2 linked regions of the Saccharomyces cerevisiae S288C genome follow. Changing the gene in region 1 together with any one later gene gives a genetic interaction. Each region holds a gene or a part of one and is shown in the gene's direction. Other genes may lie near its edges.

Evidence for each region. Genes that interact genetically often act in the same process or in processes that back each other up.
Region 2: mutations in IPP1 (region 1) and YNL050C together harm fitness less than expected from each alone (positive genetic interaction), as found in Saccharomyces cerevisiae (one large-scale study listed by BioGRID).

Annotation. Positions count from the first base shown.
Region 1 is NC_001134.8:256,612-263,467, reverse strand, and holds IPP1 (inorganic diphosphatase IPP1), read left to right. Parts: upstream 1-5,492; coding exon 5,493-6,356; downstream 6,357-6,856. Other genes in the region: YBR012W-A (gag protein), read right to left, coding at 2,277-3,599; HHT1 (histone H3), read right to left, coding at 6,727-6,856.
Region 2 is NC_001146.8:533,579-538,753, reverse strand, and holds YNL050C (uncharacterized protein), read left to right. Parts: upstream 1-3,771; coding exon 3,772-3,788; intron 3,789-3,879; coding exon 3,880-4,675; downstream 4,676-5,175. Other genes in the region: alpha-1,2-mannosyltransferase ALG11, read right to left, coding at 1-581; COPII subunit SFB2, read left to right, coding at 843-3,473; Golgi transport complex subunit COG5, read right to left, coding at 4,884-5,175.

The DNA of each region.
Region 1 (6,856 bases):
TAGTATTCCATGTGTCTCGTGATACCTTAATTTCAGTTTCATTATCTTCTAATGATCTTTTCTTACTGTTGATAGTAGTATAGGCATTAGAGTCACCAATACCACCCAAACTGGAATTAGTTTGACGAGAATTGATCGGTGGAAGTTCTTTAAAAGAGTCTGATAATTCGGTAGGAGGTTCTGGAGGCAGATCGGGGAGTGGAAGATCAGCGATAATAGATTCCTCTGTATTTTCCTTAAAACAAGTATCTGACGTTTTGATAGGAACGACATGGTGTAGTGAATTACTTTCTGATGACGGAAGTATCCGATCGGAGGTGAAGCGGTGTATAATCCTTTTCTCAGTCTCCTGTTCGCTTGTCTGCGGAACAGTTTTATTATTGGTACCACCCGTACTGGATATTGGTACGTTTGTATGATTAGTCTCATTGTCACTGTACGAGTCTGAGTGTCTGAAATCTTTAGATTTACTGGCGTACGACGACTCATGTGTGTTAGATTGGGACATGGGAGCAAGTAAAGGAACATCTAATCTATGCATACCACCCGAATCGGTACTCTCGATATCGGAAATTTGGGGGGTGCTAGATCTCTTCTTAGATGGAAGAATATTAGATTCAGATATGTTGGGGTCAACTTCTCTGGGTGCGCGAATATTGGTTTTAGAAACACGTTTCGAATCTTCAGTATGAGTTGACGGGGGTGTGGAATCGGTTGGACTCACAGCTTTTGAAAGGACATTTCTCGGTTGCTCAGGATATAGTTCAATATCAGATTGAAAGTCATGGTCTGATTCTATGTTAAGATCATTGGATTGTTGGATCTCATTTGACGCAATGAACGATTGATATGAAGCAGTTAAACGGTTTAAGTCTTCATCGAAAGTGAGTGCGTCGTAATTGAATTGATCTAATCTGGAGTCCTTGCCCTGAAGAATAACATAGTTAGTTGTATCTACTGTCTTCTTTAAGGATGGAAGATAGATGATATATCCATAAGAGTTTCGAGACGGATGTAGAGCGTAGCCTGGGATGCCACGAGGATGTATTTTGGAGTTAGGGTTGTGATCATTGACGATAACAGGTTGACCGAAAGGTAACAAAGTACTGATATCAAGTCCTGCCAAGCCAGCATGTTGTCTTGCAGATTTTTTGCTTTTAGGTGAAGCTAGTGAATTTCTCACAATAGTAGAAAATTCGATTGCAGAGAACCATAAATGGTTCGGTAAACCACTACATTGCAGTTGAGTACGGCAGTCATCTAATAAGGTACGGTTCAGCCGTTCAGCGACTCCATGTGCTCGGGAATCCGCTGTGGTTGTATAGCATGGAGTTATACCATTTTTTTCAAGGAATTTATGGAGAGTTCTGTTAGTATACTCAGAACCACGGTCCATTTGTATAACCAAGACACTGGCCTGAAACTGGTTTTTAATAAAAGCTAGTATCGTAGTAAAAACATCGAGGATAGAGTCCTCGCGACGGTCGTGTAATGGATAAACCCAACGGAATTTTGTTGTCTCATCAGTAAATGAGATGAAATAGGATGGTGCACTTTTTGGTAGGTTGTGAACTGGACCAAATATGTCAGTATGTAGGTATTGAAAGGGTTCGTATGAATTTTGGTATTTTAGTCGTGAACCTTTGATATGTCTGTGTTTGGTGCTTTTGCCGATTAAACAATCAGGACATTGATAGTCAATAGCACTAGACCAGTCGACATCTGATTCGTTAAAATACGTGATGGTGTTATTTTTAAGTGAGTATCGAATTGTCTGTGCATTGGCATGCGCAAGCATTCGATGAATGAAAGGATAAGGATATTTGCGTGTACTTTCACTTGTATGGACATTATTGATGGTGGGTACGGAGATATTTGATGGAAGCAAGTACTTTTTAGATACCCAGTAAAAGTCTCCATATTTTACGATAGGTGCAAGTACAGTGCCGTCAGATCGTTCTAAGACGTTTTTGGTAAAGCATGCTGTGATATCTACTGCAGCCAATTCATTCAAACTGAGTAAGTCATAGGCTATGTTAGGAGTGTGCAATACCTTTAATGATGTTTTGGTGTTGTCCTGGAAGTGAAATTGTAGGTCACCAATAGCGTTAATTGGTATATTTCTTTTTTGAGCATCAACTACGTTTATGTCAGGATTAGATGATGCTGAGTGTATGTGATGAGCAGATCTTATAAGGGTTCGTGATGCTCCTGAATCGAGAAGGAGGTGTCCAGGGAGTTCATCATCAGAATGATTAGTATGATTTACTGTAGATTCAGTAAGTTTCTGGCCTAAGATGAAGGTCGTGCTTATTGTTCAATTGAATCGGTTCAGTAGTTGATTTACTGATGGAATCGTTGTCCGTGCTGGGAGAGTTATTAGATGTGGATACATTGTGAGCCCTGGCTGTTTTCGATTTCGAATTATTTGTTTTTTGAGGATTCCGAGCTATAACTTTGGGTTTGGTTGTATTCGTATAGCTGCGAGAATCATTCTTCTCATCACTCGGATTTCTCCTGTAATTAGGTTTGCTGTTTCTCGATCCCTGTTGTTCTTCATAAATAGCATGGATATCTAAGAACAGTTCAGCGACTGTCATATTTAGATGTCGATGACGTGTGTAGCGTAAAAATTTATATTCGCCAGATAGACCTCTCATAATTAATTGACATGCGACCTTGTTATTGATATGAATGCCATTATTGTTCAGTCTGTCGATAATGTTTGTGACTTTTGTTTCAAATGCATCTGCAGGTGTACTGCCATTATATTGCAAATTTGCCAGGGTCACAATGTCGTTTGCCTCTTGGGTATCAGATTGCATTTTTTCAATACTTTTGGAAAGAATTTTCATGATATCCGTATAATCAACGGATAGGATGTCTTTGACCCAGGTAGGTAGGAATTGAGAGGGAGCAAATATTTGAAAAGCGTTATACAAGAAGGTGAGTTCATCATCAGTGATCGGACGTACGGGTTTTCCGTTTACTGTCGGAATAATACCACCGAGATTCGAGTTTTGTAAAAATTTGATGTATGTTTTAACCCAATTTGGAAAGTCATTAGGTGAGGTTAACATTGGTGGTGGTCTGACATATTTTTTAGTGGATGTCATATCAGAGTCCGCTGAGGATGAATCAGTAAATGTATTACCTGACTCAGGTGATGGAGTGCTCAGAGGCGTTCCAACTGATGATGGATACTGCGGAAACTGTGATTGTGGCCCAGGTGGAAAGTACATAGGCGACATTTGATAAGGTGTATACGGAATCATAGATGGGTGTCCGTAAAATGACCAACCAGATGGATTGGCTTGGTTTTGGGTCATCATGCACTGCTGTGGGTACGGCCCATTCTGTGGAGGTGGTACTGAAGCAGGTTGAGGAGAGGCATGATGGGGGTTCTCTGGAACAGCTGATGAAGCAGGTGTTGTTGTCTGTTGAGAGTTAGCCTTAGTGGAAGCCTTATCATATTCTTGAATTTTGGAAGCTGAAACGTCTAACGGATCTTGATTTGTGTGGACTTCCTTAGAAGTAACCGAAGCACAGGCGCTACCATGAGATATATGTGGGTAATTAGATAATTGTTGGGATTCCATTGTTGATAAAGGCTATAATATTAGGTATACAGAATATACTAGAAGTTCTCCTCGAGGATATAGGAATCCTCAAAATGGAATCTATATTTCTACATACTAATATTGCGATTATTCCTCATTCCGTTTTATATGTTTCATTATCCTATTACATTATCAATCCTTGCACTTCAGCTTCCTCTAACTTCGATGACAGCTTCTCATAACTTATGTCATCATCTTAACACCGTATATGATAATATATTGATAATATAACTATTAGTTGATAGACGATAGTGGATTTTTATTCCAACAATTACTTTAACATGAATAAGCTCAAAGTAAGCCAGAACAATTACCTACAAAGAAGTGATTTCTATAAATTCGAAAGAAACGGCACTGAATGGGAATATATATTTGCATCAAATTCAGCTTGTCTTGATTATAATAATAATACAGCTGTTAATAATGATATAATTTCGTCACTTAATTATTGCATCAGTGATGACAGATATTATGAAACTGCAGCGATGTGTGTGGTTTTGAAATTATCTCAAGATTGCTCTTTTGATGTGAGGCTTCAACGAAGTGGAAATGGGCCATATAAGAATATCTGGGATATGCCTTGCGGAGAATTACAACAACACATTGGTTACAAAAATGGTATATGCTATAATAGTGAAAACACGGTGTTATCGGCAGTAGGTGTAGAACATCGATATCATAAAAGTGTTTCTCGTCTATAAGATAAATTTGTTGGCGGTTATAGTTCGAAAAAGTGTATTGGACATGTTATAGATCAGAAAAACTTGGATAAAAATTGATAAAAGAAAAATGAACCACAATACCTTTACATAGTATTTTAACTCATTATCCTCGTGAAATATATATATATATATGGATATATATGGAACTTTGTTGGAATGAAATTTTAATATCATCTATTTCGCAGCACTCATGTTACTATTATATCACATGCGGTGTAAGAGGATGGCATAAAGATTGAGAAACAGTCATCCAATCTAATGGAATGCACGACACAATAATGAGTGACAACATATAAAAGGAAGTAAGATACAATAATATTATTATGTATAACTATCGATTTCCTTTTGTGGATTCCTATATCCTCGAAAAGAACTTCTAGTATAATCTGTGTACCTAATATTACAGCCTTTGAAAACAATGGAATCCCAACAATTATCTTATTCCCATAATTCTCATATACAAGATACAAGGGAGAAGTAAACAATGGATACAAGGAGAAATATGGCGCTAAAGGCTGATTTAATTGGATTGTTCGATTCGAAGTCGCTCAATAGAATTTGATGGCTCCCTCAGAGTGCGGTTCAAATCATTCGGATACTTTGAAGAAAGGGTAATATATTGTACCTTTGAACATGAGTTCATGAGTTGAAAAAGGTAAAAATAATCTGCTAAAATGATTACTCTTCTCTAAGAATGTGGTCTTCCCCACCCACGTGATAGTAATACATAGGAACCGTTTTACTGAACGCTACATTACCCATCAATATAATATCATGATTTAGCCGCCGAATTTTATGTAACTAAAAGGTTGCGGGACTTTGAAGCCCAGGTAGAAGTGTTTCATTCACAGAAGGAGATGCCAATGTGCTATTATTATCCCTGTGTGGCGCACTATTCAAACGGATTTGACTGTTCTTCAAAATATCGTCATCGCAGACGCTAAGGTTGTTGGGAGAAGCCACAGTCATTAGATACGATAGTCTCATGATGACTTTTTCTCGTTTTTTTTCGACGTTTTAAGGTCGCGTCGAAGTTAGGAAGGTTAGTTCATTTACAACTTGTTTTTGAATACTTACTTTCTTAATCATCTATTTTGATTTGTTGTCCCTTAGGTCTATAGAACAGGATATCCCGCCGCGCAATTTACTAATGACCTACACTACCAGACAAATTGGTGCCAAGAACACCTTGGAATACAAAGTTTATATCGAAAAGGATGGTAAGCCAGTTTCTGCCTTCCACGACATTCCCTTGTACGCTGACAAGGAAAACAACATTTTCAACATGGTTGTTGAAATTCCACGTTGGACCAACGCCAAGTTAGAAATCACCAAGGAAGAAACTTTGAACCCAATCATCCAAGACACCAAGAAGGGCAAGTTGAGATTTGTTAGAAACTGTTTCCCTCACCATGGTTACATTCACAACTATGGTGCTTTCCCACAAACTTGGGAAGACCCAAACGTAAGCCACCCAGAAACTAAGGCAGTTGGTGACAACGATCCAATTGATGTGTTGGAAATTGGTGAAACTATTGCTTACACTGGTCAAGTCAAGCAAGTTAAGGCTCTAGGTATCATGGCTTTATTGGATGAAGGTGAGACCGATTGGAAAGTTATTGCCATTGATATTAACGATCCATTAGCCCCAAAATTGAACGACATTGAGGATGTTGAGAAATACTTCCCAGGTCTGTTGAGGGCTACTAACGAATGGTTCAGAATTTACAAAATCCCAGATGGTAAGCCAGAAAACCAATTTGCCTTCTCCGGTGAAGCTAAGAACAAGAAGTACGCTTTGGATATCATCAAGGAAACACATGACTCCTGGAAACAATTAATTGCTGGTAAGTCTTCTGACAGCAAGGGTATTGATTTGACCAATGTTACTTTGCCTGACACCCCAACCTACTCCAAGGCTGCCTCTGATGCCATCCCACCAGCTTCTCCAAAGGCAGATGCTCCAATTGACAAGTCTATTGACAAGTGGTTCTTCATCTCCGGTTCTGTTTAAAATATTTTGAATTGAAAATGAGACACCTACCACGTATGCGGCTTCAAGTTGTTTAATATGTAGCTATATATCGATTATATAACTGACTCATGAATGAATATCTTCCTGCTGCAATTTTTCTTTAACCACATGGAAAGCCATAAATCTTGCCTCCTACAAGGCCTGGCTTTTTTCGAGGGTATCGCCAGGAAAAACAAATCAATAAATGTAAAACAAATAGAACCCTATTTTTTTTTATTAAAACCTATATTTTTGTAATAAAAAATAACTATTATACAACTGTTAAAGAACCCAGTAAACCTAAATATATTGATTTATATTTTATTGTGTTTTTGTTCGTTTTTTACTAAAACTGATGACAATCAACAAACTATGATCTTTCACCTCTTAATCTTCTAGCCAACTTGATATCCTTCTTTTGGATAGTGACACGCTTGGCGTGAATGGCAGCCAAGTTGGTATCTTCAAATAAAGAGACTAAGTAGGCTTCGACAGATTCT
Region 2 (5,175 bases), on another chromosome or scaffold:
AAAGGGTACCCCATTGTATCAATCCATATATCAGGTGGACACTGAATAATGGATTCAAATGCGAGAATCATTGATCCAATTGCTTGTCCAATCAACGTGAAATGCTTCCATGTTGAAGAATCCACCAAGTATCTTAGCTTCAATGAAATGAAAAATATTCTATCCGAATCCAAGTCGTAATCGAACTTCGCTTTCACATTATTTAGAATATTCTCCGGAGTAACATTCTCTCCATTCACAAAATCCCCTGAATAAATGACAATAACGTTCTTAGCATCTTTTCTCAAAGTGATATCTACAGCTTTCCAGAGCACTTTTTCCCCACCACCACCAGCATTACAATACGGATGAAAAAAACCAAAAACTTTCACATTCTTCTCACCACAGGAGGCAACTGCTCTGTTCAGTAATGAAGATTTTTTGGAGAACGGATTCAAGCTGGAATACACCCATTGACGGAAGATCCACGTGAGAACCTTAATTAGTCCATACACTAGTACTAAAGATGATACAACATATTTTTTGAACCCAAAATGAGACTTAACCTCTTCAAAATTGTAGTTTGTCCAAGCACTGCCCATTTTCGCCTGCAATCACCTGAACATGTTGGTCACACTTGGATACTAACATCTATCTTCACTTCACTTACCTCTCAATCTTATTATTTATTGAACTTTTCACTTTTTGTTTAGCTTACCCGAAGGACATAGATGTAGCGATGACAACGATGAATGATACGTCAGTTAAAAGGGTCTTCGTCGAACTCTTCATCTAACCCTTCATTTGCAGTGTGCTTGGTTGATGAACCTTCTTCCATTAATGATCGACAGCTGCAGTGAATAATGTCTCATCATAAGAAGAGGGTGTACCCTCAAGCTCAGGTGCCATACATTGCAAGTATGCCAATAGTTGCAGAGCAACAGCAGTCTCAACAACAAATCGACCAAACAGCTTATGCAATGGGCAACCTACAATTGAACAATAGGGCTAACTCATTTACACAGCTAGCTCAAAATCAACAGTTTCCTGGTTCTGGGAAAGTGGTCAATCAACTATACCCTGTGGATTTGTTTACAGAATTACCTCCGCCAATCCGTGACCTGTCTTTACCACCTCTTCCAATCACCATTTCTCAGGATAACATTGTGACTCCATCCGAATATTCAAATGTTCCATACCAGTACGTCAGATCTACTTTGAAAGCGGTGCCAAAAACAAACTCTCTGCTGAAGAAAACGAAGTTACCATTTGCCATTGTTATTAGACCATATTTGCATTTGCAAGATTCAGACAACCAAGTACCGCTAAATACTGACGGAGTCATTGTCCGCTGTCGCCGTTGTCGTTCATATATGAACCCTTTTGTCGTTTTCATTAACCAAGGGAGAAAATGGCAATGTAATATATGCCGTTTCAAAAATGATGTCCCATTTGGGTTTGATCAGAACTTACAAGGCGCTCCAATCAACAGATATGAAAGAAACGAAATTAAAAACTCTGTCGTGGATTACTTGGCTCCCGTAGAATATTCTGTTAGGGAACCCCCACCATCTGTTTATGTATTTCTTTTAGATGTTTCTCAAAACGCTGTCAAAAATGGTTTATTGGCTACTTCTGCCAGAACCATTTTAGAAAACATAGAATTTCTACCAAATCATGATGGAAGGACCAGAATTGCTATTATATGTGTTGATCATAGCCTTCATTATTTTTACGTTCCTTTGGATGATGATTATGAAGTATCGGATGAGGATGATGAAGAATCAGATGGTGAAGAAGAAGATGAAGACGAGGAAGAGGAAGACGTTGATAATTCAGAAACAATTCAAATGTTTGATATTGGCGATTTGGATGAACCATTTTTACCAATGCCGAGTGATGAATTAGTAGTTCCACTAAAATATTGTAAAAATAATCTGGAAACATTGTTGAAAAAGATACCTGAAATTTTTCAAGACACACACAGTAGCAAGTTTGCACTTGGACCTGCCCTAAAAGCTGCGTCAAATTTGATAAAAAGCACTGGAGGCAAAGTTGAAGTCATTTCATCAACTTTACCAAATACTGGCATCGGGAAATTGAAAAAAAGAAGTGAACAGGGCATATTAAACACACCAAAAGAAAGCTCTCAGCTACTGTCGTGTAAAGATTCCTTTTATAAAACATTCACAATTGAGTGTAATAAACTACAAATAACAGTGGACATGTTTCTGGCATCAGAGGACTACATGGACGTTGCCACTCTATCTCACCTGGGCCGTTTTTCTGGTGGTCAAACACATTTTTATCCTGGTTTTAATGCCACCAGTTTGAACGATGTTACTAAGTTTACTAGGGAATTATCAAGGCATTTATCCATGGATATTTCAATGGAAGCTGTTATGAGAGTTCGTTGTTCTACTGGCTTGAGGGCCACATCGTTTTTTGGCCATTTTTTTAACAGATCCTCTGATTTATGCGCTTTTTCCACAATGCCTAGAGATCAGTCTTATCTTTTCGGGATATCCATCGAAGACTCATTAATGGCAGAATATTGCTACTTGCAAGTGTCAACATTGTTGACTCTAAACACTGGTGAACGTAGAATTAGAGTCATGACGTTAGCTCTACCAACGTCCGAATCAGCTAGGGAAGTGTTTGCATCCGCAGATCAACTAGCCATTACTGATTTCATGACACAAAACGCGGTGACTAAGGCTTTGAATTCAAGCATGTACTCTGCGAGGGATTTTATCACAAAATCGCTCGAAGATATTTTAAATGCCTACAAAAAAGAAATTTCGATGTCTAATATAAATTCAGTAACCTCACTTAACCTATGCGCAAATTTGAGAATGTTACCTCTATTAATGAATGGACTAAGTAAACATATAGCCCTCAGACCGGGCGTTGTTCCAAGCGATTACCGTGCAAGTGCGTTGAATAGATTGGAAACGGAGCCTCTTCATTATTTGATAAAGAGCATTTACCCTACAGTTTACTCCCTGCACGACATGCCCGACGAAGTCGGTCTACCTGACTTTGAAGGAAAAACGGTTCTTCCTGAACCTATAAATGCCACTATATCTCTTTTCGAAAGATATGGCCTGTATTTAATTGACAATTCCGCAGAATTATTTTTATGGGTTGGCGGAGATGCTGTTCCTGAGTTACTAATAGATGTATTCAATACTGACACCATATCTCAAATTCCTGTGGGGAAAAGTGAACTGCCTCTTTTGAACGATTCGCCTTTCAATGAAAGACTAAGGAGGATAATCGGTAGAATTAGAGAAAACAATGATACAATCACATTTCAATCATTATACATAATAAGAGGACCATCTATTAACGAGCCCGCCAACCTAAACTCCGAAAAAGATATGGCTTCTTTAAGGCTATGGGTATTAAGTACTCTTGTCGAAGACAAAGTTTTAAATTGTGCTAGTTATAGAGAATACTTACAGAGTATGAAGACTAGTATCAACAGATAACAATCAGTCTTTCTTTAATCTTTATCTTTATTAACCGATCATCATGTATAGATTTTGATATACAATACAGATAGAAATAAAAGTAAATCGTGAAAGATTTTGGCCTTTGCGTGTGAGAGTTATGTACTTCAAAAATGCCATTCTGTTCCTACATAAAAAATAAGTATTTTCAAGTCATCGGATCAGTACGAAAAAGAAAAATTTGAAGTACTTAAAATACGACCAGTTTCATTTAAACAGCAATGGAAAAATCTCCTCTAATGAAAAAAAAAGAAAAACATTGAAATTCAGTATAAAAATGTCTGAATTTAAGATGTATGCTTTGACATAAGATACAAGTTTGCCTCTAATTTCATTTTTTTACTAACTTTTCAACGAATCGTTTAATATTCTAATTATTTTGCAGAGTATCAAGAAAAGATCTTTATAATGAAGGAGAGGGATTAGGAGAAGATTATGATTCCAATAGTAGTAGTAAAAATAATAGTGAGCATGTAGAGGTATTAGTACCGCCAACAGAATTTGAATTCGTTGAAGTTGAAAGAACCGACTCATCATTAGATCTCAAAGAAAGTAATAACAGCGCACATGAACAAAAGGAAGAAAAACAAGAAGAATTCGAGTTCCCGTTATTTTCGTTTGGTGTGGTTGAAGCATCGACTAGCCCAGCTCAAGAAGAACAAGGTTCATCAACTCAAGAGAAGGATACGCCACAGACTGAAGTAAGTTTGATGAAAATTTCATTGAAGGAACCTGAAGAAGAAATAATCAACCAAGAAAGGCCCAAAGACTACTACTTTGCAAGCTATTCTGCAGACCAAAAGCTGCAATTCCAACAGAGCTCTATCGACTATGATGTGATAATACAAGAAAGTACAAAAATTCTGGAGGATGATCTACGTATTCGTGATAAATGGCCATATTGCCAGGGTCGAATAATAGATCTGTATAAGCACAATGCGAGAATAGAGTTAGAGCAGCAGAAGGAATTGAAGATTAAAAAGAGGAGACCTGGTCAAAAGCAACGTGCAGCCAAAAAACTGGCACTTGAAAGAACCAAGGAGCGTGATACCAAAGCTCGTGAGATAAAGAAACAGTTGAAGAAAAAGTTTCATAAGCGTGGTGGAAAGAAAAACAAAAAAAAGGTACCTTTGAACCCACTGGCAAAAGCTGGCAGTACCCCTAAGTTTAGGACAGAATGACCACGTAAATGTATATATATACATATTAATACTTCATATAAACTAACCGATATTGGATTTCTCATAATAACTATTACTAGTATAATCTTTAATAATATAAACAAATATTACATTTCATGTAATTTTTATTAAACATATGCACATGCTATTGAAAATTGCTTTAGATTCATCCTATTTCATCAACATTCTTAATTTTATGTAAACTGTCTCACTTATTTAGAGAAATAGATACTGAGTTTAGCATTACATCCAAGTAGCTTTGGTAATCACTATTATCAGAAGATTTTTTCATACTTTGCTTCATAGTGTTTATAATAAAATCTTTATTTTTTAACAGCGACTTGCCCACAGGGCCTCCTCTATTAACAGATATATCAAAGTCCTTTTTGAAGGCAGATGAAACTTTGCTCCAAAACAGATCTCTCGGTGTACCAGAACCTGCTTTACTCTTCATTGAGGTATATTCTGATAAAAGATTGCCAAGGCGTGATTTATTAGCA